Ovis aries: one gene and its partners. The protein of the gene in region 1 purifies or fractionates together with the protein of each later gene. This does not show direct contact. Links are inferred from orthologs where the notes say so. Each region holds a gene or a part of one and is shown on either strand. Other genes may lie near its edges.

The links.
Region 2: the proteins of TRIM21 (region 1) and IRF3 purify together in Homo sapiens (affinity purification with western blotting; 3 studies listed by BioGRID, with this or other methods). This does not show direct contact. The link is inferred for Ovis aries from reciprocal best matches to the Homo sapiens genes TRIM21 and IRF3.
Region 3: the proteins of TRIM21 (region 1) and GMPS purify together in Homo sapiens (affinity purification with western blotting; 3 studies listed by BioGRID). This does not show direct contact. The link is inferred for Ovis aries from reciprocal best matches to the Homo sapiens genes TRIM21 and GMPS.
Region 4: the proteins of TRIM21 (region 1) and ANXA2 purify together in Homo sapiens (affinity purification with western blotting; 3 studies listed by BioGRID, with this or other methods). This does not show direct contact. The link is inferred for Ovis aries from reciprocal best matches to the Homo sapiens genes TRIM21 and ANXA2.
Region 5: the proteins of TRIM21 (region 1) and interferon-activable protein 203 purify together in Homo sapiens (affinity purification with western blotting; 3 studies listed by BioGRID, with this or other methods). This does not show direct contact. The link is inferred for Ovis aries from reciprocal best matches to the Homo sapiens genes TRIM21 and IFI16.
Region 6: the proteins of TRIM21 (region 1) and FASN purify together in Homo sapiens (affinity purification with western blotting; 3 studies listed by BioGRID, with this or other methods). This does not show direct contact. The link is inferred for Ovis aries from reciprocal best matches to the Homo sapiens genes TRIM21 and FASN.

What each region holds. Positions count from the first base shown.
Region 1 is NC_056068.1:49,570,893-49,576,408, reverse strand, and holds the start of TRIM21 (E3 ubiquitin-protein ligase TRIM21), read right to left. Parts: upstream 3,796-5,516; 5' UTR 3,093-3,795; intron 3,056-3,092; exon of another isoform or gene 2,924-3,055; intron 2,428-2,923; 5' UTR 2,392-2,427; coding exon 1,984-2,391; intron 1,492-1,983; coding exon 1,396-1,491; intron 140-1,395; coding exon 1-139. UniProt on the Homo sapiens protein: E3 ubiquitin-protein ligase whose activity is dependent on E2 enzymes, UBE2D1, UBE2D2, UBE2E1 and UBE2E2.
Region 2 is NC_056067.1:55,793,181-55,797,455, reverse strand, and holds the end of IRF3 (interferon regulatory factor 3), read left to right. Parts: intron 1-279; coding exon 280-466; intron 467-570; coding exon 571-951; intron 952-1,828; coding exon 1,829-1,944; intron 1,945-2,601; coding exon 2,602-2,769; 3' UTR 2,770-2,836; downstream 2,837-4,275.
Region 3 is NC_056054.1:232,460,946-232,465,790, reverse strand, and holds part of GMPS (GMP synthase [glutamine-hydrolyzing]), read left to right. Parts: intron 1-827; coding exon 828-958; intron 959-1,888; coding exon 1,889-2,061; intron 2,062-3,326; coding exon 3,327-3,428; 3' UTR 3,429-4,845. UniProt on the Homo sapiens protein: Catalyzes the conversion of xanthine monophosphate (XMP) to GMP in the presence of glutamine and ATP through an adenyl-XMP intermediate.
Region 4 is NC_056060.1:48,022,650-48,027,269, forward strand, and holds part of ANXA2 (annexin A2), read left to right. Parts: coding exon 1-39; intron 40-1,356; coding exon 1,357-1,416; intron 1,417-3,082; coding exon 3,083-3,176; intron 3,177-3,841; coding exon 3,842-3,937; intron 3,938-4,380; coding exon 4,381-4,439; intron 4,440-4,620. UniProt on the Homo sapiens protein: Calcium-regulated membrane-binding protein whose affinity for calcium is greatly enhanced by anionic phospholipids. It binds two calcium ions with high affinity. May be involved in heat-stress response.
Region 5 is NC_056054.1:109,958,312-109,963,156, reverse strand, and holds part of interferon-activable protein 203, read left to right. Parts: intron 1-878; coding exon 879-1,040; intron 1,041-2,525; coding exon 2,526-2,693; intron 2,694-4,845.
Region 6 is NC_056064.1:50,289,972-50,294,816, forward strand, and holds part of FASN (fatty acid synthase), read left to right. Parts: intron 1-98; coding exon 99-217; intron 218-297; coding exon 298-452; intron 453-601; coding exon 602-805; intron 806-961; coding exon 962-1,112; intron 1,113-1,197; coding exon 1,198-1,376; intron 1,377-1,466; coding exon 1,467-1,586; intron 1,587-1,782; coding exon 1,783-1,905; intron 1,906-2,030; coding exon 2,031-2,254; intron 2,255-2,332; coding exon 2,333-2,534; intron 2,535-2,661; coding exon 2,662-2,813; intron 2,814-2,923; coding exon 2,924-3,015; intron 3,016-3,215; coding exon 3,216-3,367; intron 3,368-3,452; coding exon 3,453-3,695; intron 3,696-4,023; coding exon 4,024-4,212; intron 4,213-4,423; coding exon 4,424-4,654; intron 4,655-4,744; coding exon 4,745-4,845. UniProt on the Homo sapiens protein: Fatty acid synthetase is a multifunctional enzyme that catalyzes the de novo biosynthesis of long-chain saturated fatty acids starting from acetyl-CoA and malonyl-CoA in the presence of NADPH.

The DNA of each region.
Region 1 (5,516 bases):
CTGTGTCCCCCAGTGTTCTCAGCTGTTGCCTCTCCTCCTCCTCTAGTTTCTGCAGTTGCTTCTGCTCCTCTTCGGCCAGGAAGTTTTTCTGCCTTATAAACTCTTCATGAATTCTTAATTTCTGCGCCTCTACCTTCCCCTTTGGTGTCAATGGAAAGAAAGAAGTGGTTTTTAATCATAATTCCCTAAGATTTGGGAATGGAAGTATCCATATCTACTCCTACTCCACTCTGGCTCTGTCTGGGAATACACACACACCCAATTTTGCTGGGAAGGAAGGTGGGTGAGGCTTCTGGGCCTGAGGGGAATGGGACTGGTGGGGTGCGGTGGGGAGGTGCACCTATCACAGCTGCATCAGCCTGTGGTATCAGAGATTTCCTCAACCTCCTTCAAGTCACCCCTGCTCCCCCAATGTGTCCCTTTGTCTTCATATCTTAGTAACTGAACGAGTAACACCTGGCCCTACTCCAACAAACCTGCAAAGCCAGGCTCATAACCTGGTTCCTAAGTTTGGGAAAAAGGAGTCTTTGAGATAGTCTATGGTTGCCCTCTTCTGCTTCTAACTGGAGGGTCACTCAATACCACCACAGCCTGCCTTACCCTTCCTGGGTCTCAAGTCTACCTCTTCTGGGATCTCTTGGCCATGAGCTCCTTCTGCTCCTTTCTAGTCCCTGGCCCACCCCACCTGCTAATCCCTGGGGTGGAACAAGCTGTAGCTCTCCATTACATTTTGGACCAGTGAGCTGGACATGGTCAAGTAACTACCCGGTCAGACTGGCTTTCCTGTCCTAGGCCTTTGAAAGTGAAAGCGTTAGTTGCTCAGTCATGTCCGACTCTGTGAATCTATGGGCTGTAGCCCGCCAGGCTCCTTTGTCCATGGGATTCTCCAGGCAAGAATACTGGAGTGGGTAGCCATTCCCTTCTTCAGGGGATCTTCCCAATCCAGGGACTGAACCCAGGTCTCCAATACTGCAGGCAGATTCTTTACCATCTGAGCCACTAGGGAAGCCCATCTTAGGCCTTTATGGTTCACTTAAATCTGGTTCTCATAGTCACTGTCATTTCTTGACAACTTGTCATTTCTTGACATTGGGCATCTCTCCTGGCATTCCCCTGTCCCAAACTCTGAGGCCATCTCCAGAGACTGGGCTGTCATCTCCAGAGACTGGGCTCAAGAAGCAGGAGCATTAGAATATATCTTGTCCCTCAGCACCTTTTCCTAAGACTCTCTCTCCATCTGACTGGGAGCTCTTTTTGATCTCCACACTCTTTTAATCCCCTCCATCAAGAGACCTATGGGGCAGCTGGTTCTTGGGGAGTGAGATATAGGGACTGGCATAGCTGGACCCTCCCCAGGCTTCAGATCTAAGATTCCCTTCAGGATATGACTCTTGCCTTAAAGGATGCTTTCTTCATTGCAATGTCCAATTCCAGCTTCTCAGCCATCTCCTGCTTATCTCTTAGTTTCTTTAGTGCCACCTGAAGCTTTTCCTGCAGAGAACGAAAGCAAGATGATACCCAGTCAGGTCAAGAAGTAGGGTGCAGTGGTGTGAAGTGGGGGGAAGATCATACTGGTTCTTAGAAGAGGCTGAGTGCAGAGGACAAGGAAGGACTAGAGTCTGTTTGGGGTAGGAACTCTGTGGATGGGAAGGTTTTGGAAAAAGCCTGATATTTCTTACAAAATAGGGCCACACGGTTGGTGTACAAAGGGTGGGGGCACTGCTTGTTCCTAATTAAGCAGGAGGCCACAAGGGAAGAAGATTCTTGAAGCATTTTCCCATAGCACATCCCTGCTCTGTGAGAATGAGAAAACTGTGCTGAGCTTGCCATTTCCCCCTTAAATAAGACATAGAAGGCAGGAGACCCCTATTCTTTCCCCAGCCCCACAGGTAACTCTCTCCCATTTCCAGCTCTGGGGAACAAAGCCATCAACAGGGCCCCATCTCCTTTTTACCTGTTCCTGCCTCTGTGCTGAGGACTCACCTGGTACTCCTGAGCAGCCTCCTCAATAGGGACCATGGGATGATCACGGTGTTTCTGGGACTGGGAACACACCCAGCAAAGGGCCTTCCCATCTGCCTCACAGAAGAGGTGAATTTTCTCTCTGTGCACCACACACAGCTCCCCGTGTGGGCCCTCCTTGGCACCCTGGCTGATTTTCCTAAGGTTGTCCACCATGTTGGCTACCTGTCGATTGGGCCGGAGATTCTGGAGCAGGAAGTGGCGCCGGCACACAGGACAGACGCTACCTCCTTCTTTCCCGACCTCAGAGATGCACTCCTGGCAGAAGCTATGACCACATTCAATGCTCATAGGCTCCACCATGGGATCCAGGCAGATAGAGCACGTGACCTCCTCCCACATCATTGTCAAGGGTACGGCTGAAGCCATTGGGGTGATGCTCCTCTTCGGTAGTGCTGGGGAGATCTTGCGGTGAGGGGAGAAGAGGAAAGGGACGGAAGAGAAGAGCCAGGTAAGAAAAGGGAACCACGAGAGAGGGTGAACTGGAGGGAGTGAAAACAAGAAAAGACAAGGACCTCAACCTGAATAGTGCTCCTCTTCCATAGTCTGGGTCACTGATCCAGTCAGACAGAAGGGGACACTGAGTCCCCAAGAGATAGCAAATATTGTTGAGAACCTGAGAGACAGCTGCTTACAATTCGACTTTCATCATGTTCATCTCTGCTTAACCGCTCAGAGTCCAGGCTTTACCTATTGATCTTCTGCCTCAGGCCACTGGTTTTCTACTCTGTTGAGAAGCTAATCTTAACAGTAGCGACCATTGACTGTGCTCGTTCCATGTGCCAGGTGCTACATGCTTCACATACATTCTCATTAATCTTTGCAATAGGCAGGAGTTATTGGTATCTATCTAATCATCGGTAACATGAATATATATAAGAATATTTATATTTATGCTTACATATTTTCATAAGGATACACGTATATCCGTAAGTACATGGGCTTCCTAGGTGGTGCAAGTGGCAAAGAATCCACCTGCTAATGCAGGAGACACAGGAGACAGCAGGTTTGATCCCTGAGTTGGGAAGATCCCCTGGGGAAGGAAATGGCAACCCACTTCAGTATCTTACCTGGGAAATCCCGTGGACAGAGGAGCCTGGCGGCCTACATACAGTCCATGGGGTCGCAAAGAGTCAGACACGACTGAGCACACACACACACGCATATGTATATGTGTGTATATATGTATGTGCATACACACAGAAGCGTGAGGTTTATTAAGAACTTCCTGGGCTCTTCTCTCAGCTACCCTGAACCTGGCCCCGCCTTTGTTTCTTCTAGGGCGCAGACCCATAGTTTTCTAATATCCTAAGCAACCCTGTCTCTCTCACCTCCAGAGGGAGCCTTTTGGGGACAGCAGTCTCAGGGATCGCGGACCTACCCCCACACCGGGCTCCCGGACCACCCCTGAGCTAGGTTGCCATCCTGGTTCTCCCAGTTTCCCTGGTTTTTCTTCCCAGCTCAGGTGCCGGCGGAAGCAGAGCAATCCGAGCTCCTTCCAGGGGACATCCCAGTCAGGTTTACAGCCCAGCCTCCTCCCAGGCTGCAGGGGAAAAACTGCTGGGTTAAGGTTGAGGGAGACCTGTTGCGAAAGAAAACCTGAGATCGAAATCTCTAGGGGTGGGGACGGCTTGGATGAGGCACTTCAGACCTGGGGCAGGGGAGAGAGGTCCCCTAGGGAGAGCTGGGGTACCTCGGTCTAGCCAAGTTCACTCACCTTTTCAAGAGACGCAGTGGATGGCAGCCGTTTCCTTATTTCACTTTCGATTCCTTGTCCACCGCAAATCTGAAAGGGAGGCGGGCAGAGCGGGAGGAGAGTGGGCGGGGCCAAGGGAGGAGGAAGGCGGAGGGGTTGAGGTGCCGCCAGAGTCTGGAGCTTCTGGGAGGCTGGGGCGAGCGAAAGCTCCGCAGCCTTTAGTCCTTGCTTTGCGTTCCCTCCCGTGTCCTCATTGTGTAATAGAGTGAAGCATCGTATCTGCTGCGTGGAGGAGCCATGCAGGCCTACGTGCTGTGCCCTCGTGTGGGAGCTGCTTTAAAGGAGGTTTGGATGGACAGGGGTGCCTGGAGGTCTCCTCTAAAGGCCATCTTCTGTTCCCTATTTCCAAAAACAATTCCTTTTCAGGAGACTTGATATTCTTTTAACATCAGGGGGAGAGCAATTTATTCCACAGTACCTCAGCGCATTATCACACCAGTGAGTGGTAAGAAGGGACTTGACATTTATTGAGGCAACAACTGTGTACTTATCCTTGAGCCAGGGACTTTCTCAGGTTGTTTTATTATTATTTTAAATTATGGTGAAGTACGTATAACATTTACCATCTTAACCGTTTTCAAGTGTGTAGTTCAGTGGCATTAAATACGTTCACAGTTGTATACTTCACCACAGTCCATGGAGTCTCAAAGGGTCGGACACAACTGAGCCACTAAGCACAAGAACGGAGAAGGCAAGGGCACCCCACTCCAGGACTCTTGCCTGGAAAATACGAGGGACAGAGGAATCTGGAAGGCTGCAGTCCATGGGGTCGCTGAGGGTCGGACACGACTGAGCGACTTCTTTCACTTTTCACTTTCATGCATCAGAGAAGGAAATGGCAACCCACTCCAGTGTTCTTGCCAGGAGAATCCCAGGGGCAGCTTGATGGGCTGCTGTCTATGGGGTCGCACAGAGTCGGACACGAGTGAAGCGACTTAGCAGCAGCAGCAGCAGCAGCAAGCACAAGAAACCTCAAAGAGCCAGGGAGTAGTGGCAAATTCCTATTTATAAGAATCAGAGTTTTTACTCTGGTGGAAGAACTTCTTTCTTTACTAGACCCTTAGAACAAGGCTGAGCCCTGTGTTGGGGGATGGAAAGAAAATGATCTGTAAATGAGTTACTAGTTTGAGGGAAATAGGAGCTGCAACCACCTCCCTTCTTTATTCTCTGAAGAGTGTGTTTATAATGGCTATAAAAAATACCATCACCTATTAGTTGTTGATCTTAGATGTGCACCAGAATTTATGGTACAACATTCTTATATCATAGAGTGGGGTTTCCAAACTGCTGCCATACCTGAGCCTTCAGCAGTGCATCTCATATTTTTATTGGACCATCTTTTTCTGGTTGATGATGTACATTGTAAGACCACTGCATTCCATAGTGCAACCCCATTATCAGAATTTTTTGACTGTAAAATCAGTTTCTTGGTTGTAAGTGATGTTGTTGGAGACCTTGATGTTGTAAATCGAAAAACAGTGGTGCTGGTAGAAGCAATATAAGATGGCAAATGAATCTGTCTCTGGTATAGTAGCTATTTTGTGAGGATAAATTGCTGTTGGTTCAATGTCATTATCATGCCACTAAAAGACTGCCTAGATTCTCTTAGAAATAGGGAAAAATCAGGCTCAGAGTTGGTCTTATATGTACAGGTTTCTATAGCAGTAGGAATACAAATGCTGCTTGAGTATGGATTCCTCGGGTTTATCCATTTACCACTACTGATACGGACACTTGT
Region 2 (4,275 bases), on another chromosome or scaffold:
GGAAGGCCCTCTGCCCAGGTCTTGCTTGCACAGAGCCGGTTCCTCAGGCTGGAATTAGCTGCTCCCCTTGGGCCATTGTAGTGCCAAGCATACACTCAAGCTGTCTGTCTTTTACTGTGCTGGTGGCTGTGTCTCCCCCAGGCTGGAAGCCCCTTGAGGGCAAAGCTCAGGTCTGTCTCCTCTCTGGGTCTCCACATGGCTGAATACAAAAGCTTGGTCAGTGGGAAGTCTCCAGAAAAGGCCATGGAAACACCTGGATCTTTATTTTTTCCTGTCCAGGAAGACATTGTGCAGAAGTTACTGAGTGACATGGACTTGAGCCCAGAAGGAGGGCCCTCGAATCTGACTATGACCTCTGAGAACCCCCCTCAGCTCTTACTGAGCCCCGAATCAGACATCCCTGCTCTTTGCCCAAACTGGGGACTCTCTGAAAACCCCCTGAAGCAGCTGTTGGCGAACGAGGAAGGTGAGTGCCAGCTACGGGCCAGGAGGGGCCAGGACCCGAGTTGAGAACACCCTTACACCTGCTCATTCTCTCTCCCCCTTCGCGTTATGGCTGCTGCTGCTCAGATTGGGAGTTCGAGGTGACTGCCTTCTACCGGGGCTGCCAAGTCTTCCAGCAGACTGTCTTCTGCCCTGGGGGCCTGCGGCTGGTGGGATCAGAAGCAGGGGACAGGATGCTGCCCGGGCAGCCAATACGACTGCCGGACCCCGCAGCGTCCCTGACAGACAAGAGCGTGACAGACTACGTGCAGCGTGTGCTGAGCTGCCTGGGCGGGGGGCTGGCCCTGTGGCGGGCCGGGCAGTGGCTCTGCGCCCAGAGGCTGGGGCACTGCCACGTGTACTGGGCCATAGGCGAGGAACTCCTCCCCAGCTGTGGCCACAAGCCTGACGGCGAGGTCCCGAAGGACAGGGAAGGAGGTGTGTTCAACCTGGGGCCCTTCATAACAGGTGAGTGAGGCAGGGCCTTCGCTTTGCTGTGGAAACAGGAGGCAACGGTGGTGAAAATCTCTGGGGTCAGGAGGTTGGAGGTGGAATTCAGACCCTGCGGCTCTGCTTGTGCTTGAACCTGGGGAGAAGGATGGACTGCTCTGAACCTGTGAAATCTGCAGACTGTCTCCTCCCTCTCCTTACCTGCCTGGAGCTGGCAGGGGGCTCAGGCCCAGCATACAGAAGCCACTCAGGGAATTAGCTGCCAGAGTCATTATCATTATTACCAACTGTGGTGGAAAGACAGATGCAGGAGAAAGATATCCCCTAGAGGCTTGCTATCCGAATAGACTTTGGTGCAGTGATGCAGATAGCACTGTATTTGCACTGCCCAGCTTCGTATCCACTAGCTGCATGTGGACGCTGAGTATTTAGATGTGAGTGAAAATGAAATGAATTTTAAGTTTTATTTGATTTTAATTAGATACAATTAAAACTTAAATAGCCATGGCTAATGGCTACATAGTGGACAGTGTGGCCTTGAGGGGTTAAAAAGCAGTCACCACCACTGATCTGGTCCTCCAGAACCACTGAGCATCCTTGGGGAGGAGAACGCCCCTCCTGGGCCTGTTTCCCCATCCAAAGGCTGGGGCTCTGGGCGGGGTGGGGTTCACCTTCCAGCCCCATCTTGATGCGAGGGAGGGAGGAGGAACATTTAAGCTTGTGCATAAGTGGAGGGGCTTTCCCCAAATTAACAGCCCCCAGTCATGGTGGCAGAGGTATGCCGGGCTTTTGATCAGGAGAGAAGATAAGGATGTTAATGAAGTTTTGGGGGAGAGGGGAGGGGCAGGTAGAAGGTCTTCTTCCCATCCCTGACTCTCTGTTCCTTGGCCCCCAGATCTGATCACCTTCACTGAAGGAAGCAGACGTTCACCACTCTATACCCTCTGGTTCTGTGTGGGGCAGTCATGGCCCCAGGACCAGCCATGGATCAAGAGGCTTGTGATGGTCAAGGTACTGCCAGCCCCAGGCTCCTGGAGCTGAGGGGTGGATTTTAAAAGGAAGGCTGCTTCCAGAAACTACAGCTCCCATAGTTCTTCTGGCAGTCTCTGCAACTGCCAGTTCTTCCTCAGGGGCTTCTGGGTGTCCCTCCAATGGCCTTTCTCCCAGAGCCAATTTTGAGTTCGCCCAACCATGTGGAAGTTGGTGGACTACAAATCCTAGCAGCCTGTGTGAGGTACTTCAGCTCCCAAGAGTCCTTCTGAGCACCAGCTGCTTCCCTAGCTTCTAGGAACCCCTTCAGCAGCCTTAACCTTAGTTTTTGTGGCCTCCCTTGGTTGTGGGAGAAGGGGACAACAGAGGATGAGACGGTTGGATGGCATCACCAACTTGATGGACATGAGTTTGAGTAAGCTCTGGGAGTTGGTGATGGACAGGGAAGCCTGGCGTGCTGCAGTCCATGGGGTTGCAAAGAGACTGACACCGCTGACAGACTGAACTGAACTGAACTTGGGTGTGAATATGGGGGAAACTACAACTCCCAGCAGGCCTGGACCTGGTTTATCCTGGGTTATCGTGGGGGATGCTGGGACTTGTAGTCTACTCAGCCCCATCCTGGGTAGTGGATGGTGTTGGGGTGTCTCCTGACAATTTCTCCCCCATCTCTCACAGGTTGTCCCCATGTGCCTCAGGGTTCTTGTAGACATAGCGCGGCAAGGGGGTGCCTCCTCCCTGGAGAACACTGTCGACCTGCACATTTCCAACAGCCAACCCCTCTCCCTCACCTCAGACCAGTACATGGCGTATCTCCAGGACCTGGCCGAGGACATGGATTTCTAGGACATGCTGGGGAGGCCTGAGCCCAAGCCCTTCACCTCGACCAGTAAACTGGTTCTGGCCATGGTCATCACTGTGTGTCTGGTATTCAGTGTCCCTGGGCCAGCCCTGACCCAAGCACGGGGTTATTCCTCCTTAAGGCCTGTTTATCCGCCCGTGCAAGCCACTCACGTCCTAGGTGCTCACGGCCTAAGGGCCAGGCACCGTGCAGGGGGCAGCTGATACTTTACCTCTCTTCTCTGGGACCTAGTGAGTCACCCCTGTTTTAGAGACCAAGACACTGAGTCTTGGAGAGGAACAAAGGTCACAAAATAGGAAAACAAGGTAGGTCAGAATCCAGGTCTCATTCTTAAAATGGCTGCTCTTTGAGGGTGGCCTTTGGGCTCAATTTGCAACGTCTATCTTGCCTATAAACAGTTCAAGCCAACGGCCAAAGGCAGAGACTCTGTCAAGAGCCTCGGGTGCCGCTCTCAACTCCTGCTGGGTGACCCAAGGCCAGTCCTTTCCTTTTCTGGGCCCAGGGCTCCCTCCGTGTGGGCCTGCAAGGGCCGGTTGTAAAGAAGTTCTGACCCACCCCCATGGGCTGGATGCCCCCACCTCACCTCATCACTCCTGGTTCTGGGTAACAGGGACTGATGGATGGGGGAGAACAGATACACATGTACGTATGGCTGAGTCCCTCTGCTGCCCACTTGAAACTATGCCAACGTTGTTAATCGGCTATACTACAATACAAAATAAAAAGTTAAAAAAAAACAAAAAAAAACACCTTTCCAATATCCTATCAACCCATCTGACACAATTCTATTTACTTCTAGTTAAAAAAAAAAAACAGGGGCTGACAGAGGCCTGACTTACTGTGTGGCCCTTGCTGGGCTGTGCTTCAGTCTCCCTCTATCTCGGGGGAGTCAATTAGATCACCCCAGCCTCAGGGAAGCAGGAGAAAGAATCCAACTGAATGGAGGACAAAGATCCGGTTTCTGGGGCAGTTCCAAAGCAGACAGATAGCAGCCAGTTGCCCTGAGCTGGGCAGACAGTGATCAGGTGGGTGGAGACCCCGCCCTCCCTCTCCACCCCAGCAACAGCTGGGGAGCTGCCAGGCCTGGTTCCAAGTGCTTCACCTGCCTTGGGTCTTTCTTAATCCTCAGCCCCCACTTTATACACGAAGAGTGAGGCCCTGGTGAGACGGCTGCACTTTCCCCAAGTCACACTGTCTATCCTCCCCGCTAACCACCCTCTCACTTGGGCCAAGTCTCCTCCCCGACACTTCCCAAACTGGACTTTGAGAAGGGTTAAAAATCATGGGGCTCAGGGGTAACATTTCATGAAACCTTTAATGAAACTGAGGGAGGGGCACGAACAAAGGGTCTGGGCGCGGGGCACAGGCTCTGGGGCGAGGGAGATGGGCGTGGGACAGGGCAGGGGCTCTCCTCTTTCCCGCAGCAGCCCTCCCCCAATCATCCCACTGACGGGGGAGGGACACGGGAAACGGAGCCATAAATACGTCCA
Region 3 (4,845 bases), on another chromosome or scaffold:
AAGTTCACGGTGCACGTATTGTTGAAGCCTGACTTGGAGAATTTTGAGCATTACTTCACTCGCGTGTGAGGTGATGCAGTTGTGCGGTAGCTTGAGCACTCTTTAGCATTGCCCTTAAAACCTATTTATTTAATCATTTTCCCCCAGGCTTTTGTGCATTGATTTCCTAGAGCTACCATAACAAATCACCACGGACTAGAAGGCTTAACACAATAAAATTCTATTATGTCACAATTCTGGAGACTATAACTCTGATATTAAGGGTGATGTCAGCAGGGCATTGCTCTCTCTGAAGGGTCTAGGGGAGAATTCTTCTCTTCATAGTTTCTGATGTTTGCTGGTAGTCATTGCCTGGAGACAGTCGAACTCCAGTCTTCATCTCCATCTTTACATGGCCCTCTCTTCTCCATGTGTCTGTCTTTCCAGATTGCCTTTTGCTTAGAAGGACACCCACCTATCATTGGATTAGCCTTCTTCCCCCCGCCCCCACCCAAATTATGACCTTTATTCGATTACATTTGCAAGGACCCTGTTTTCACCCCCAGATTCTAGATGAACATGAAGTTTTGGGTATACTTTTCAATCCAGTATGTTAAATGGAAAGAGGATTGTGATAATCAAGTTTATCTTCACACTAGTATTTCAGAGAATGTATTTTGAGGAAGGTTCAGACAACAGCTACCTTCTATAATCCTGTCCTTCCCATTGGGGATTTGAAGTGGGTAAGAGATGGGCCTAAGAACAAATGCAGAGAATGTTATTTTATGTGCTTTGTTTCCTCATACTAAAATGTATTTTCTTTATAATTTTCACTTCCTTCCTTCTAGAGTTGTTTATATATTTGGCCCACCAGTTAAAGAACCTCCTACAGATGTTACTCCCACTTTCTTGACCACAGGGGTACTCAGTACTTTACGCCAAGCTGATTTTGAGGCCCATAACATTCTCAGGGAGTCTGGTAAGTTGCCCATTTTGTTCATTACTACATGCTTCAACTAGATTTTGAAAGCTTGGCTTTATGATTTTTAGTAGGAGGATTCAGCTTTTAGTATTCCTATTTGATTCTGTGGGTAGTTCTGTGACATTGCCTTATCCATATAGAACTTACTCATGTTTATGGTCACTTGCAGACATGCACAAAGTGACAAAACTTGAGTTGCTCAGCTCAGATGTTCCCAGTTGAGGTTGAAGATGGCAGTCCTCTGTCTTGTTTCAGCTCTGTTTCTGTTAACAGGTGTCTTTTTTGTCGTCTATTTAATGCCATGTTGTTTTGCATTTTCATGCTTTTTGTTGGTGATTTCACTGTTTAAAAATGTCCTCTAAGCTTAGTGCTGAGGTGCTGCTGACTAGGTTCCTAAGCACAGGAAGACCATCATGTGCCTTACTGAGAAAATAGGTGTGTTAGATAAGCTTCCTTCAAGCTAGAGTTACAGTGCCATTGGCTGTGAGCTCACTGTAATGAATCTACAATAGATATTGAGTAAGGTGTCTTTAAACAGAAAACACATAAAGAAAGGTTATATATTGATCAGTTGATGAATATGTTATGACTAGAGGCTTGCAAGACCCTAATTCCGTATTCCCTCTAGGGTTAGTGGCTCAGCATTTTCTTATTCAGTGTTTGCAGTATAGAAGATAATTATATGAATAATGAATTGACTTATATGTATAGCATATCACTGCATTCATCAGACTCTGTAATTTGTATTTGTGATTGCGTTTGCTTACAGTGCTATGAGAGTAGCTGAATATAGTACATGATGACAGTCCTAAGAAGAGGTGTGTCTGTGTGTGTGATTGTAGGTCCTGTCTGGAAGGATTTAATTGAACTGAGAGTGCTTTCCTATGGCGTGGTAATTGATTCTACATGTTAACTTCCTTTCCCTAGGGTATGCTGGGAAAATCAGCCAGATGCCAGTGATTTTGACACCTTTGCATTTTGATCGGGACCCACTTCAGAAGCAACCTTCTTGCCAGAGATCTGTGGTTATTCGAACCTTTATTACTAGCGATTTCATGACTGGTATACCTGCAACCCCTGGCAGTGAGATCCCCATAGAGGTAATAGATACATTTTTTTTCTGATGTACATATTTAATACCTTAACATTTTATAATAATGGTGAATGGGATAGGCTGTGGCAATGTTGATATTTCTGAGGTTGGTTTTCTGTTCATAAAATAGGCTCTAATTTTTTAAATCTCCACATAATTCATTATTTAATACATTATAGTAGGAAAAGGCCCTAAGTATATTACCTCTCTTCCAGATGTCTGATTACTATGTGGAGACTCCCAACTCTAATCTATCTTTTTATCTAATCGTGCCAACCTCTGCCTTATAAATAATGTCCTCCAAGTAAAACAGAAAACCCTAGGAGTGAGGAAGGAAGAGTCAGTTAGATATAAGATACAGCATTATGGCCAGGCACCCATGAATTTCTTCATGCTCTGCCAACTAGCAATTACAGTTTTGATCATCTTCTTTCTTGTTATCCCTGCACTAGAGTGTTGTTTCCAGAGGAGCTGTTTCTAAGATAGCAAGTAAAAGTCAAAGCAAGACTTTATTAGTTGTACCACTGTTCCAGGACTCTAATACAGGGCTCTGATTATATTACTAGCTAGTATAGAAATGTGGTTTGGAGAATGTGGCTTAGAGTCTATTTTCCCTTAGGCTTGCATTTGCCCAGCCTCTGGCCAGTTAGGTGACAAGGCCTTCCTCGTCTATACATGTAGCAGTGATTATTATTACCTGTGTTATTTGCCACCGTAGTGGCCTTGGAGTTGTGAGCCGCAGAGAATCTGTGAAGCGTTGTCTTCCGCACGTGAAGTCTCATGCTTGAATGCTGCAGCAGTGTCAGGTTGCTATAGATGCTTCTAAACATTTGCTGTGGACCAGTAACACCCATGACTTGCAGACTGCATGAGTACTGCTGAATTTAAGTCACTTAAATCTGTGGAGTCACTGCGTAAATTAATCATAAATGTATCCCATACACCTAGAAAGTGAAAGTTGCTCAGTCGTGTCTGACTCTCTGCGAATCCATGGACTGTATAACCCATGGAGTTCTCCAGGCCAGAATACTGGAGTGGGTTGCCATCCCCTTCTCCAGGGGATCTTCCCAATTCAGGGATCAAACCCAGGTCTCCTGCATTGCAGGTGGATTCTTCACCAGCTGAGCCACAAGGGAAGCCCATATATATAGAGAACAGTGGTAAAAATAGATTGTGTTTTAATTTGAAATTACAAATGAAATTACAGATTCTAGCTCTGTTAAACATGCAATGGACCCTAGCTCTTTATTTATAATCTTTATTTTATAACAGGTGGTGTTAAAGATGGTCACTGAGATTAAGAAGATTCCTGGTATTTCTCGAATTATGTATGACTTAACATCAAAGCCCCCAGGAACTACTGAGTGGGAGTAATAAACTTCTTGTTCTACTAAAGTTCCGTGTGCAGTTTAAATTGTTTAGAAACCATTCCCAGTGTTGAATGCAGTACTGTTAAAAGTGTTACTGGAGCAACCACATCACATCTGAATTCTCTGCAGCAAAAGTCTACGGCTTAAGAGCTGAGCTGGGGATAACTAAAAGGGACTGAAGAGTTTGTACGGGTATAATCAAAGCACCATTGCCTACACTCAGACAGACTGACACTGCTTTTGCCTTTACCTCTGTCTCACTTGTTCGTTATGTATAAATTCACTGTTTCTATTGATGTGTCTGCAATCAAAGATGTATGGAAGTGGGTGAATTTGGGGGCTGGTAGTAGACTTCTGTCCCCTTGCCAGTTTCTAAGAGATGTTAGAAACACCATTATTTACCAATGTGACTTAGTATGTATACCTTTTGGTGAAACTGAATTTCCCTGTAAGTAACTTTATTCCTCCATGAAGGGGTCAACATATCAGATAAAGATATGGGTGGGCTGTCCCACCCACTTTTGCAGGACACTGGGACCATAAAATGGTAAGCTACCTTAAGATGGAAAAGCACCAGGAATTTGTTGAAGGACTTTGGGTTTTATGTCATTGCAGTCATGGGAGGAAGGAACTGTGTATGGTCGCCATTTAAAATGTTTTCACATCATGCTCCATGTTGCGCTCTGTCAACCTGTTCATTAGTAAGGAGCTTTATCCTCCTAGTCTTATGTTGCAAGCTCGCATAGCCTTGTAGAGGAAGGAATTTTCTGTTCTGTCCACAGAAGAGACTGTCTTTGGGTCTAGTGTAAAGTTCGAGCATTTTTATCTTGTTTGGCCAGAGTGAAGCTCTGAGATCACAGAAACCATCATGCATGCCCGCAGCTTACAGATGCATGCCTGCGGTTTACATAATCTAGTAAAGAGCTGTAAAATGAACTCTCGGTGTAATCTATAGATATTTTTTTTAATGCACTGCTCAGAAGATTGTGACCTATCTTGGCCCATGCCAAGTATTGCCAAACTTTGTACTTCTTTCTACCAGCTGTAAGAGAACATTCAAGAACTGGTATAGGACTTTTTGCCATTGCCACCAGTTTCTAACAGATGCTTTTATAACATTCATATATGCACTATAAAAATAGACAGTACTAGATTTGAATTTTACAACCATTTCTCTCTCAATATTTTAGTTGATGTTACTGTTTTAAAATGTTACCTTGTATTTTCTCATACGAATTCCATCTCAAGTTGCTGCCTCTTATGTAGTCTTTAAGATTTTCTGTATTAATCAGCTATACAAATTTGTTTGGAATCAATCCACTGTTAGATAAATAATAAAATTACACATGGCAGAAGTCTTCCTTTCATTCTGGTTGGTCCAGGGTATAAGAAAACTATGTCCCTGGACCAGCAAGGGAAGA
Region 4 (4,620 bases), on another chromosome or scaffold:
TCTGGCGACTTCCGCAAGCTGATGGTCGCCCTCGCAAAGGTTAGTTTCCGGCTCGTTTCTTTGTCCTTGCTTCCTCCCAAAGCAAGTTACATACCTCATTTTATACTCGGGAGCGAATTAACTCAGTCCTCTGGGCCTGCATCAGAAATTCCAGCTGTATTTTGACAGTGGGTTTGCACTGTCAACTGCAGAGTTGTCATTTTTGTATAATAGGATTTCTTATCCTGCAAAACCGTATGGTCAGGTGGACTTTGGGGCCAGAGGTGGAAGAGGCAGCTCTTAGCTCCTGGCCTGGATTTCTGTGCCAGCCTTGTGACTTGGGGAAAGTCATTTTGCCTCTCTATGTTGTCACATAGGACCCAGTGGGAAGTGACCCTCTTGTTTCTTTCACCTGTTATAATTTCTTAGGGGATGGTTTGCCCAGGTAGTGGTTTGCCTGGGGAGAAGCTCTTTGCTTGTTTGCCAAGGTTAACACATTAATGTAGCTGAAAGGCACTTCCCTTCTAAGTCTGAGTTCTGACCCATGTGCAGTTTAATGACTCTGAGCGCTGCAAGGGAAGAGGAATTTTCATCCAGGAACCCTGAAGACAAGTGGGCACACTCCATCCTGGCCACCTACACCTCCATTCCGCCCTCCCCAGCTCCCTTCTCTACCACCTGCCCTGAGTCTGGTCACCTACCCATCATTTTGAAATCTACTTGTACTGTTTTACTCATACCCTGATCAAAACTCATTTCTGCTGTATCACATACAAACCCTCAACTGCCTCAGGCATCCTCTGTACCCTGGCCCTCCCTTAGTCTTCCTCCCCAGGCTTTCCCCCTGCTCACCTCACTCCTCTGAGACTTTCCTCTTGCGTGGGGCTTTCTCCCATTCCCCTGTACCACCCTCATCTGACACATCCTTTGGGTTTACCTCAGCTGTACCGCGTTGTCCATAGACTTTGCTGATGATACTACTTGACAGATTTCTCCCTTCTTTTGCATTTCACATCTGCTTAGAGCCACAGATACTTGGCTTTACCATTTATCCCATCCTTATTTCTCCTTCTGGATTGTGTGCTCTCTGAGGGAAGGAATTTAAATATCATTACCTTTTCAAGGGGTGGACAGAGGGTGGATTCTATAAGGTGCTTAGCCCAGGAATGGGTACCACAGAGGGTACAGCCCCCTACTTCACTGCCTCAATTGTAGCAATCCTTGGTCTTGCCTAGACTTTTAAGTGAAGAATAATTTTCAGAGGGTGTCCATTCAGTAAATAGTGGCTTACATGAGTTGGGGAGAAATCAACATTTTCAGTTTTAAAATGTACAAAGATATACATTTGATGTTCTTTCTCTCTTTTTTTTCTTTCAGGGTCGGAGAGCAGAGGATGGCTCTGTCATTGATTATGAACTGATAGATCAGGACGCCAGGGTCAGTGCCAAGCTTCTTGGTTTGATGTTTTGTTTCCTAGTCTCTGGATAGTCTTTGTAGTCATCTGTCCTGCGTAACAAATTACGTCGAAACTCAGTGGCTTAGAACCACAAGCGTGTATTACCCCTCAGTGTCTGTGGGTCAGGCACTGGGAAGTGGCTTGGCTGGGTGGTTCTGGCTCAGGGCTTCTCATGAGGTTGCAGACAAATTGTTGACCAGGGCTGCATCCTCTGAGGGCCTGACTGCATCAGGAGGCTGCCCGGATGACCCACCCACGTGACTGTTGACAGGAGGCCTTAGTGCCTTTCCACGTGAGCCTCGCTAAGGGGCTGTCTGAGTGTTCCCAGAGTGTGACAGCAGGCTCTCCCAGAGGGAGTGATCTGAGAGAGATAGCATCAGGAGGAAGCCAGGTGCCATTTAGGATGTGACCTCAAGAGCCCCACACTGTCACTTCTGCCACACTCTGTTCATCAGAGGCAAGTCCCTAGGTCCAGCCTCCAGACAGCGGGAGAGGAGGTGGGCTCCATGTTTGGGAGTGAGAAACGTCTAAGAACCTGTGGGCTTCATTTGCACTTTCTGGGAGCCATAGTTATACAACCTTCTAATGCCGGTGTTAGTTCCAGGATCAGCAGCTGACTCACATTTGCTCGTTCAAGCTTTGCTTGTATGGAGGAACCAGTTTCCGCAGGGTGTGCTACAGCTGCGCGCACTGGTGTGCAGTTGCTGCAAAAGAACCCTAATACAGTATACAACACACAGCAGTGGAAGGGGGTGGTAGAGGCGTGGCCAGGGACGGGGAAGCCCACTGCCCCGGGTGGTGGGGGAGAAGACGAGGGAGGCAGAGGTCCTTCCTTCCTTTCTGGCCAGATGAAACTCCTGCTGCTTCTCATCCCATAATCACTGAGAACTAGTTGGGAAGCTGATTCAGATCACTGTGAACTGCCTGCCTTTCCCAGAGGGTCGACAGATGTCTCAGTGTATTTCAGAGGAGCTGAAGAACAAGGTTAATTTTAATTCATTTTAGTTTTAAAATTCAGTATATTTCACACAGCACTTTTAGCAGAAGGTAGAAAAAGCTTTTTAATGAAGAAATGGAAGTTAGGCTTTGCAGCGCCCAGATAGTGGACAGTCACTCAATGAGTATTGGCTCCTGCGTAAGCCTTTCTCCCGCCTTCCTTGACATTCTTAGCATTACTTGTAGCCCGTAAATTTTCTAGAAACTGAGAATGTGGTTGAAGCAGCTTTTTTTCCCAGCTGTATCATTTTCTCAGTCTCTAAGAAGCCCAGGGTGGGCACCTGACCTGCAGCTGTCTTCAGTAAATGGAAGGGCCACATGGAGGCGAGCTGGAGGCGCTAGTGAGCATTGGCTTATCCTGTAGATGAGTAGAAGCTCTTGGTTCTTCCCTCGGCATTCAGGGAAGACTGGTTCAGCATCAGCCTCACAAACAACCTAGTCTTGTACTGCGTGTCCGTGCCTCAGGACGGAGCAAGACTTTGACACTGATCAAGAAAATAGCACATTTTTCCTGTGCCTGCCATGCCATCCTCTCTCATTTGGCACTTTGAAAGCGTAGATTTTTTCTTCTTTTGTGTGTGTGTGATGTGTTTTTAATGACCTTGCTCTCTGGATTGTGGGGTTCACTTTCCTGGCTGGTTGTGCTCACAGGATCTCTATGATGCTGGTGTGAAGAGGAAAGGAACTGATGTTCCCAAGTGGATCAGCATCATGACTGAGCGGAGCGTGTGCCACCTCCAGAAAGGTGGGTGCTGCTCTGGGGAGGTCTTAGAGTCCCGGGGCCCGAATGAAGGGCCCTCCCAGACGGGTCATTGCCAGCGGGTGTCTGTGTTGGGGCTCGGGTCTGCCAGAACAGAGTTCATTCTCCACTCTGTACCCTATGATCTCACGCATTTTTCCTCGCCAAACCCTTTCAACCTTCTCTCCCGTTTTGGATGCTTTTTTTTTCCCCTAAATATTTTCCATGTTTGGTGCCTGTTTGGTGGGCTGCCTCTTCTTGTCTAGGTCATTTTCTCTTGCCACATTTTTTGAAATAATGGACTTGGCTGGATGCTACATACTGGTTCTAGTAGCTTAGATAAAATAGGTGTCATTTTCTCTTGCCACATTTTTTTAAATAATGGACTTGGCTGGGTGCTACATACTGGTTCTAGTAGCTTAGATAAAATGGGTTCCACTCTATAGAGATGAAGATGGTCAAAATACACGCCCTGGGCTGTGCCATTCAGGACAGATGCATGGGAGGGCTGCCCCAGGGCAACTGGTGCAGTGTTGGCCCTGGTTCACAAGGCAGTCCCTAACCCCCAGAATGCTGTGATCATCTGTGTGTGTGTGATGTGTAACTCTGTGGGTCACCATTGACAGCTCTCTTAGTGGCTGTTACAATAATTGTTTGTTGCTTTTCTTTAGTATTTGAAAGGTACAAGAGCTACAGCCCTTATGACATGCTGGAGAGCATCAAGAAGGAGGTCAAAGGAGACCTGGAAAATGCCTTTCTGAATCTGGGTAAGCAAGTGCGCACACACACACACACATACACACACACACACACACCCCACCCCCGCCCCTGCCCCATCCTAGTGGACATCAGCTTTCAGTCCACTGTGCTGAAGCAGAGAAGTAATAAATGACCACCCTGAAAATTCGGGTGGCTTTGGGAAGTGTGACTTCTTTACATGTTGTAGGTAGTTTCATAATCTTCATCGTATGAATTTAAGATGTGGGACTGAAGACAGGGTTATGTTGGTAGGATGGAGAGCTGCCCAGGCAGAACAAGATAACCAGGGAAAGGGCTCTGTCCTTGGGGGCAACACACATATATGCGTCAGTTTCTATGGCCATCAGACTCCCCTGATTTGAAAGCACTCGGGGCTTTGGAGCATCCCCGGTTTTCCCTGAGCATTTCCCATTGTGCAGCCCATTTGCTGACCCTTTTCTCCTCCCCGCAGTCCAGTGCATTCAGAACAAGCCCCTGTATTTCGCTGACAGACTGTATGACTCCATGAAGGTAAGAGCAGCCTGCCGAGAGGCCCATGTTTCCACACTAGGCTTTCCTTTCTTTGTGGCCCAAACTAAGTCTCTGTAACTAACGGATGGCGGGAGAGACCTCAGGTCTAGGTGGCCACACTGGTCAGCTGTGCTTGCACCTGTCAGAGGGAAGCTGCAGTTGGACAGGCAGAAAACAAAGT
Region 5 (4,845 bases), on another chromosome or scaffold:
AGGAGAACCACATGGCTGTATGTTGTCACCCTGCTTATTTAACTTATATGCAAAGTACATCATGCGGAATGCCAGGTTGGATGAAACACAAGCTGGAATCAAGATTGCCAGGAGAAACATATAACCTCAGATATGCAGATGACATCACTTGTGGCAGAAAGTGAAGAGGAACTAAAGAGCCTCTTGATGAAGGTGAAAGAGGAGAGTGAAAAAGCTGGCTTAAAACTCAACATTCAGAAAATGAAGATTATGGCATCCTGTCCCATCACTTCATGGGAAATAGATGGGGAAAAAGTGGAAACAGTGGCAGACTTTATTTTCTTGGGCTCCGAAGTCACTGTGGATGGTGACCACAACCATGAAATTAAAAGATGGTTGCTCCTTGGAAGAAAAGCTATGACAAACCCAGATAGCATATTAAAAAGCCAAGACATCACTTTGCTGACAAAGGTCAAACCTATGGTTTTTCCAGTAGTCATATACAGATGTGAGAGTTGGACCACAAAGATGTCTGAGTGCTGAAGGACTGATGCTTTGAAATTGTGGTGCTGAAGAAGACTTTTGAGAGTCCCTTGGACAGCAAAGAGGTCAAACTAGTCGATCTTAAATGAAGTCAACCCTGAAAATTAATTGGAAGGACTGATGCTAAAGCTGAAGCTCCAGTACTTTGGCTACCTGATGCAAAGAGCTGACTCTTTGGAAAAGACCCCGATGCTGAGAAAGACTGAGGACAGGAGAAGTGAGCAACAGAGAATGAGATTAACTAGAATGAGTATAATTAGAATCTAGTAATAAAAAGTTGATTTTCTAAGTAGTGAAGATGTATTTCATTTCTCATTGAAAACTACTAACCAGGCAGGGGAAATCCTACTTTTCAGAGAAAGAAAACCACCGAAACTAGTGAATCTAAGAGGATGAAGCTAACCAAGGAGGAGAGTCAGCTTCCAGGATCATCAGTAACGAGCACAGAGTCAACTAAGGGCCTTCTCCAGACTCCTCAAATGCCTTCACCAAAGCCATCCAGCAGTTCCTTAACCAAGGTACCATTTTCCTGTTCCTAATACGTGTCCCTCCTTACAACATATTATAAGAATACTCATGACCCCGAAAAAAATCTCTCAGTATTCCCTTTCTAGATACAAACTTCTTTATGCAATCAAATCACCCCAAAACTTATCAAATAAAATATTGAGGCAAATTAAATAAATGAATTAAAAAAGTGTTGAGGTCTTAGTGTGTTCTAAGTCCTTGGACTTTTGGACATTTTTACATTTACGAATAATTGCTGACCTTACAAATGTGACAGGCCTATGGAGGTGGCCAGGCAATTAGACAGGAACATAAGGGTATGTTTATCCCCAACATTTCGGTTTCCTTTCATCCCTTTTCTCTTAACCACACCTCTAGATTAGTTCTCAGCATTCTATGCTCCTTCCTATGTCAGGTATTTGCTCATAGGCTAATTCCTTGATTCACACTCATGATTCATGTTGCTTTAATGGCTAAATTAATTCAACCATCAGGTACCAGCCTGAATTCCTTCCTCAGCATGTCCTCACTGAGACACCCCTCCCCAAAACTTATAGATAGTCTCATTTTTTATCGCCGTTACAGAATCCTTTACTATTCCTGTATAGTGTGTATCACAACTTTAATAAATTTGTTTTTCTTCTCTTCTAGACAATGATCTTGGAGTATAGGTGCTCTATCAAAAGAGAATACAAGACAGGGGTGGGAAAGTGAGTCCACAGTTGTAGGCATCAACCTCTATCCCAACCTGGTTTTTATTTTGCCCTGGGTTACATGAAACCTGGAACTATGGAGTATGTGTCTAAGATGAATGGGCAGGAAAAGATTCCCCCAAGATAAGTGTCAAGGGTAGGCAAAGGCAAGATTTAAACCACAATCTCTAACCCAGTTTCTTACCCAAGACCCAAGCTGCCCTCTAACTCAGGCTATATCCTCACCACCACCCCGCACATTCCACTTGAAGACAGAACTCCTACATAAGGGGACTTTAAATTTGTGGTTTTGTTGTGGTTGTTGTCATTGTTCTTATTAGTCACAAGAGTCCATATTTTTCCCAGTAATATTTCTCAGAAGATCAGTAGGTTTGTAGAAGCCTATAGAATAGATACTAGAAACCCACTTGTGTCTTTTCTTGATGAAAAAGTCGTAGTTAACAGACATCCTTAAGTGCAGCCAACTTTAGACTGAGATTTACTTCTCTTATAGCCAGGGAAGTTTATCTACTTGCTTTGGCCAGTTTGCATCAGATGTAGGACCCAGATTCCATCCCCAAATCAATGAAATTTTGTCTGAGCTGTTAGTATTTGGAGAGTGAAATCTGTAATCATAGTTGAGGTAGGTAAAGGATAAGTAATACAGGTATTGGAATATGTGCTATCAGTCCAGAAAAAATTGAAAAGTTCAGATTCAACATTGAGAAAGAGAAAAGATGCTATATTCTGTGTGATTTTGAAAATCATTTTCAAGAACTAAGAAAAAAATCTATTTTTATCCAGAAAAAAAGTGACACAGCCACCACACCTAAGGACTTAAAAAGGAAGATGATATCTTGTAACCAGAGTCAGCTTCCAGGAACTTCAGCAACCAGCTTGTGCCCAACTGTGAGCAGTGGCCAGATGACTCCAATTGTTCTACCAAAACCATTCAGCAATTTCTCAAGCAAGGTACCGGCTTTTTGATCCCATTCCTTGCACTTCTTACAAGAGAAGTACAAGAATTATCATCATTGAACTTCCCATTTAGTCATTTATTATACTTACCCCTTCATTTATCAGTGTTTAATCTGTGATCCCATTCTATTCTAACTCCTTGTTAATTTGGCTGTTTACCAAAGCATGAGTTCATGAAACCTCCAATTTTGAGAGGTTTACTCTCTTGTATTGAATAGAAAGAGGAGGGAAAGGTGACAAAACAAGTCAAAATGAGTGTGTCTTTACTTCATACATTCCACTTTCCTTTGGCCCTCTTCCCATTTGCTCACTGACCACATGGCAGGGTTCATTTTCAAAGTCCGGTGCTCCTTCTCAGGTCTGATATTTTGACATAGACACTTTTCATGTTTGAAATTACTTGTCTTGAGTTGCAAACTTTAATCTCTTCCTAGGGCAAGTCCCCACTGATACCTGCCCACTCTCAGAATATATTAGGTATTCCTCTTGCTTGCTTTCAAAGGTCAGTTTACTTTCCCTTTTTTAGCACTTACTGAAACTATAATAAATGTACATTTTTCTTTGTTACTGAACTATAATATAAATTATAAGGTGCCTGTCAACTGAAAAAATCCACAACCTAAAAGTTAAGAATTATGCTTTATTCAGCAGACAAATATGAGGACTTAAGATGGGGACACAGATTCTCAGGTAGCTCTGAGAGAGCTGCTCTGAAGAAGCAAGAAGGGGAGGCAGGTTATACAGGAATCTTGTTAACAAGGACCAGGCAGTCAGAACATCAAAATGTTACTGTTTTTAAAGAGAACCTGATGTCTCAAGTTAAAATTTAACACATTTTTATATACAGAAAGATGCAAAGATCTGGGCTCACAGACCCTTTGCTATAAAGTTCAGCTATCTGGGGCCAGTATCCTTACCCTGAGTCTCCTGAGGGGGCGCCGTCAGGATTGGCTGAAGCAGTTGACTGCTTGCTGGAGGGCATTTTGCTTCTATCCTGAGTTCCCTCAGGGCTTACAGTGTGGGCAGCTGTAATGCGATGGCTTGATGGCCACAACATCCTCAGTTTACTGATATGGCAGGCAGCGTTTTTCATTCATAGTGCCCTATTCCCAGGATAAGACCAGATCAGGGTGGAAAAATGACACACACACATGTGCATCGACTCCTATGCTCGCCTGCCTTTATTCTGTCCTGATATGACCCTTGTGGTTACCATCACGCTGGGGTACAACACCTATTCCTGCAGCAAATAAGCAAGTGACAGGAGAAATAGGCCAAAGCAACATTTAAATCACGAAAATAGCTTGTCACCCAAGTTCCAAGCTGCCTAGGCTGAAGCCCTCTATACGAATCCAAGCATACCAGTTGAAGACATTTCTTTTAACATAATTGTTCAAGTTTTATCGTGTTACTGTTTTTATTACTGTTAACTCTGATAATTAGTAATGCCTCACGTAGTCTCTGTTTTATTTATGGGATAGAGCTAGTAATCTGTGCCTGTTTGCCTCTAGGTCCAGATGGCCCTGGTCTAGTCATTGAAACCTTAGACCCACTGTCAGTCTGCTGTGACAATGACATGCATGTACACCACAAGTCAACTATGCTTTTCTATGCATACAGGCTTAGAATGGACACTTTCTAAGGTCCCATCTGCCTAAATTTGTGAAATAGTCATTTCTACTTTCATATGAATCATTCTGCTACCCCCCAAAATCCCTGGGAGCATAGGAATCCCAGAGAGCCCCATCTATCCCCTTGGCTTCATACACCTAAAAACACCTTGCAGTCATTTCTCCTTTGGAGCCCAGCCACTTCAATAGGAGGCATGGAACAAGAAGGATCTGGCCATTCTTCTGGGAAAGAGCAGGAAAGCATTGCTCCTTCATCAGAGGGTCTCCCAACTATTTTTTCTGTGATATAGGCTATGTTTGGGATTCAGAGACAGAAGCAGACCAATATTTTCTTTGATTCATACTGCTGTGTCTCCGTGAAAGCAAATACCACATATTGGCATGATTTAAGAACCAGGTGGAGTTGTGAAGGACATAAGCCAAGGGAAAAAAATCAATTACTATTTTTGAATACTATCCACCCAAATAGTATATTTTAGGGATCTAAATCCTGCTTTTATGATGGAAGCTTTTGC
Region 6 (4,845 bases), on another chromosome or scaffold:
CACCAGGCCGGGCTGACTCGGCTCCAATGCTAGGACCGGGGGAGCCCACCCCGTCAGGCAACCCTTCCCTCATCAACCCTTTCTTCATCTTTCTACAGAACATCCTGGCCGATTCCTCCTCCCAGCCCGTGTGGCTCATGGCTGTTGGCTGCACCACCTCAGGGGTTGTGGGCTTGGTGAACTGTCTCCGGAAAGAGCCTGACGGGCACCGGATTCGGTGAGATGTCCACTGTGCCACGTGCCCCTTGCCCCCAAGACCCCACCACAGCCTCCCCTTACCTGTCTGGCTGCCCACAGGTGCGTCCTGGTGTCTAACCTTAACAGCACGTCCCCCATCCCTGAGATAGCCCCGAAGTCCTTGGAGCTGCAGAAGGTGCTCCAGAGTGACCTGGTGATGAACGTCTACCGTGATGGGGCTTGGGGAGCATTCCGCCACTTCCCACTGGAACAAGGTGAGCCCCCCGGGACTGCCCTGCTCCTCCGGGTTCCTCGCCTCCCAGGTGGGTGGACTGAGGAGAGGGCAAGAGGACTCTGGCTGGAAGCCCTGCTCCAGGTCAGGGCCATGTGCGATCCTAGGGCTCCACTTCCTGTCACCCCCTAGACAAGCCCGAGGAGCAGACGGAGCACGCCTTCATAAATGTACTCACACGAGGGGACCTGTCTTCCATCCGCTGGGTCTGTTCCCCTCTGCGCCACAGCCAGTCCACGGGCCCTGGCGTCCAGCTCTGCACCATCTATTACGCCTCCCTCAACTTCCGCGACATCATGCTGGCCACGGGCAAGCTGTCCCCCGACGCCATCCCAGGTACAGGCAGCCCACAGTAGGGGCACCAGAATAAAGCCCGCCCCTCCCCGGGGCCAGGGCCTGGGATGAGAGGGGTCCTCGCCCCGCAGTGCTCAGGAACCTGGGAGGCTCCTCCCAGTGAGATCAGGGGCTCACTCACCCGCCATCTGCTCCCAGGAAATTGGGCCTCTCGGAACTGCATGCTAGGCATGGAGTTCTCTGGCCGAGATGCCAGCGGGAAGCGTGTGATGGGGCTGGTACCCGCCGAAGGCCTGGCCACCTCCACTCTGGTGCCTCAGAGCTTCCTGTGGGACGTGCCTTCCAACTGGTGAGTCACCAGGGCTGGGACCTGGGGCCCGACGTGGACGTGGCCAGGCATCAGGCCAGAGCTGATCCCTGCACTGCGCCCTTAGGACCCTCGAGGAGGCCGCCTCGGTGCCCGTTGTCTACAGCACAGCCTACTACGCGCTGATTGTCCGCGGGCGCATGCAACCAGGGGAGACCGTGCTCATTCACTCGGGTTCTGGCGGCGTAGGCCAGGCTGCCATCGCCATTGCCCTCAGCCTGGGCTGCCGCGTCTTCACTACTGTGGGTAAGCCTCCAGCTCTTCCCAGAGCCCAGGACTGTCCGCCTGGCAACGCTGCCAAAGCCCAGACTCACCAGGTGTGCCTCTCTCTGCCAGGGTCAGCCGAAAAGCGGGCATACCTCCAGTCCAGGTTCCCCCAGCTCAACGAAACCAGCTTTGCCAACTCCCGGGACACATCCTTTGAGCAGCATGTCCTGTGGCACACAGCCGGGAAGGGTGAGTGGTCCCCATCACCTACCACCCACTATCGACCTGTATCCTCGGCCCCTTCTTCCTTCCATCCCCCACTCACCAGCCAAGCTGGAGGAGACGCTGGCCCATGCTGGGACAGGGTCCAGCCCTTCAGACTTGTGTTAGGTTAGCCGGGCTGTGATCTTCACTATGGGGACCCTGCTTGCTCCCCTCTCCCAAGGTGTTGACCTCGTCCTCAACTCCCTGGCGGAAGAGAAGCTGCAGGCCAGTGTGCGGTGCCTGGCCCAGCATGGTCGATTCCTGGAAATTGGCAAATTTGACCTTTCCAACAACCACCCTCTGGGTGAGATGGGGCAGCAGGCCTGGTGGGCGGCTGGGTGGGCAGGGGGCTGTTGGCAGAGTGGGGATCTGCAGGGTGGGGGGTTGTGGGCTATGTGGTGAGGCCCCCCTGCCCGCCCACCTGTCCAGGCATGGCCATCTTCCTGAAGAACGTGACTTTCCACGGGATCCTACTGGACGCACTCTTTGAAGAAAACAGCACCATGTGGCAGGAAGTGTCATCGCTGCTGAAGGCGGGCATCCGGGAGGGTGTGGTACAGCCTCTCAAGCGAACAGTGTTCCCCAGGACCCAGGTGGAGGACGCCTTCCGCTACATGGCCCAGGGCAAACACATCGGCAAAGTGGTCATTCAGGTGAGTGGGGTGCCCTGAGGGTCTCTGGCCCCTGCCCCTGCCAGCAGTGCGTGAACAGGGGCCCTGCTTGGGCTGCAGGTGCGTGAGGAAGAGCAGAAGGCAGTGCTGCACGGGACCAAACCCACCCAGATGGCGGCCTTGTGCAAGACCTTCTGCCCAGCCCACAAGAGCTACGTCATCACTGGGGGCCTGGGTGGCTTTGGCCTAGAGTTGGCCCACTGGCTCGTGGAGCGAGGGGCCCAGAAGCTGGTGCTGACCTCCCGCTCTGGGATCCGCACAGGTGAGTGGCCCGAGGGTGGGGCAGTGGGAAGGGCCTTCTTCAGACCCCTTTATGGTGCTCTCAAGGCACCTAGACTTGGGACCAGACCTTCATTTGCCCATCCCTTCCCACTGTCTGTGTCCCACAGGCTACCAAGCCAGGCAGGTCCGTGAGTGGAGACGCCAGGGTGTGCAGGTCCTGGTGTCCACCAGAGATGTCAGCTCACTGGATGGCACCCAGAGGCTTATCACTGAGGCCGCCCAGCTTGGGCCCGTAGGAGGCGTCTTCAACCTGGCCGTGGTGAGGACGGCTTTAGAGGGGCTGGAGCCGGCTGCCCAGGGAAGGGCCCCTCCCAAGAAGCCCTCCAAAGGCCTGGGGCCGAGGCAGGTGCTAAGATCCCCTCACCCCAGGTCCTGAGAGACGCCATGCTGGATAACCAGACCCCTGAGTTCTTCCAGGACGTCAACAAGCCCAAGTACAATGGCACCCTGAACTTGGACAGGTGGGCTCCTCCCTTCTCCTCTCCCTCCTTCTCCCTGCACGGCCCTCACACTGGTGACCTGGAGACCTGGCCATGGGCCTCTGCTGGGGTCTGACCGCAGGTCCAGGGAAGGGGAGGCAGTTTGGTGGACAAGCAGGAGTCCTGGGCATGACAGCCGGTGGGCTGGGGAAGCCGGCTGGGGGTGACTTAAGAACCCACAGGGTGACCCGGGAGGCATGCCCGGAGCTGGACTACTTCGTGGTCTTCTCCTCGGTGAGCTGCGGGCGTGGCAATGCCGGCCAGACCAACTATGGGTTCGCCAACTCCACCATGGAGCGCATATGCGAGAAGCGTCAGCACGACGGCCTCCCAGGTGGGCCCACCCACCACTCCCCGACTCGCGCGGTGCCACCCTCACAGCTACCCTGACTCACCGCGGCACCACTGCCCACCCACAGGCCTCGCCGTGCAGTGGGGCGCAATTGCTGATGTGGGCATCCTCGTGGAGCTGAAGGGCACTAACGACAAGGCCATCGGCGGGACACTGCCCCAGCGCATCACCTCCTGCCTGGAGGTGCTAGACCTCTTCCTGAACCAGCCCCACCCCGTCCTGAGCAGCTTTGTGTTGGCAGAGAAGGCTGCGTCCCGTGGCCCCAGCGGCAGCCAGCAGGACCTGGTGAAGGCCGTGGCTCACATCCTGGGTGAGGCAACATCCTGCCCCCTCCCCACCGGCAGCCACTCCCGAGTCTGGTCTTCCAGGCTGCCAAAGGGGGGCGTGCTGGGCTTGCTCATGGAGAGAGAGGCACAGGCGGTCTGCAGAGCTGGGTGGGGGCTGTGGGTCCCGTGGTACAATCTGTTCAGTTCAGTCGCTCAGTCGTGTCCAACTCTTTGCGACCCCATGAATCGCAGCACACCAGGCCTCCCTGTCCATCACCAACTCCCGGAGTTTACTCAAACTCATGTCCAGGGTACAATACCCACCCAGGGCCCCTCCCGCATTGCCAACTGAGCTGCCTCCTCACCCCCCAGGCATCCGTGACTTGGCCACCATCAACCCGGACAGCTCGCTTTCAGACCTTGGCCTCGACTCACTCATGGGTGTGGAGGTGCGCCAGACGCTGGAGCGTGAGCGCAACCTGACGCTGTCCATGCGGGAAATCCGGCAGCTCACCATCCGCAAGCTGCAGGAGATTTCCGCACAGGCTGGCACGGCTGATGGTAGGTATGGAGAGGGTGTCCCCGAAGCAGCACTGTCCGCTCAGGGCTCTTGGCCTCCAAGCAGGTCAGGGCTGGTCCATCTGGCCCCTTCCTGAGAGCCCTCCTTGGGCCCCCAGTGCCCTGGCCACCCGCGGCCGACAGGTGTGCGTGTCTGTGTGTTTGTGGCAGGGGACCCTATGGTATCATCCCTGGTATCTGCCCCTCTTCACAGAGCTGACGAACTCCACACACAAATTGAGCAGCCCTGCCCAGTCGCAGACGCAGCTGAACCTGAGCACCCTGCTGGTGAACCCCGAGGGCCCGACCTTGACACGGCTCAACTCGGTGCAGAGCTCCGAGCGGCCCCTGTTCCTGGTGCACCCCATAGAGGGCTCTACCACCGTGTTCCACAGCCTGGCCGCCAAGCTCAGCATCCCCACCTATGGCCTACAGTGTACAAGAGGTATGTCAGGGGCCTACTGGGCTGCCCCCCAGGGAGTTGGGGGTGGCAAGGCACCTGCAGACAGGGCTAAGCCTCATGCTGTGCCCACAGCGGCACCCTTGGACAGCATCCAGAGCCTGGCTGCCTACTACATCGAGTGCATCAGGCAGGTGCAGCCAGAGGGGCCCTACCGCATCGCCGGCTACTCTTAC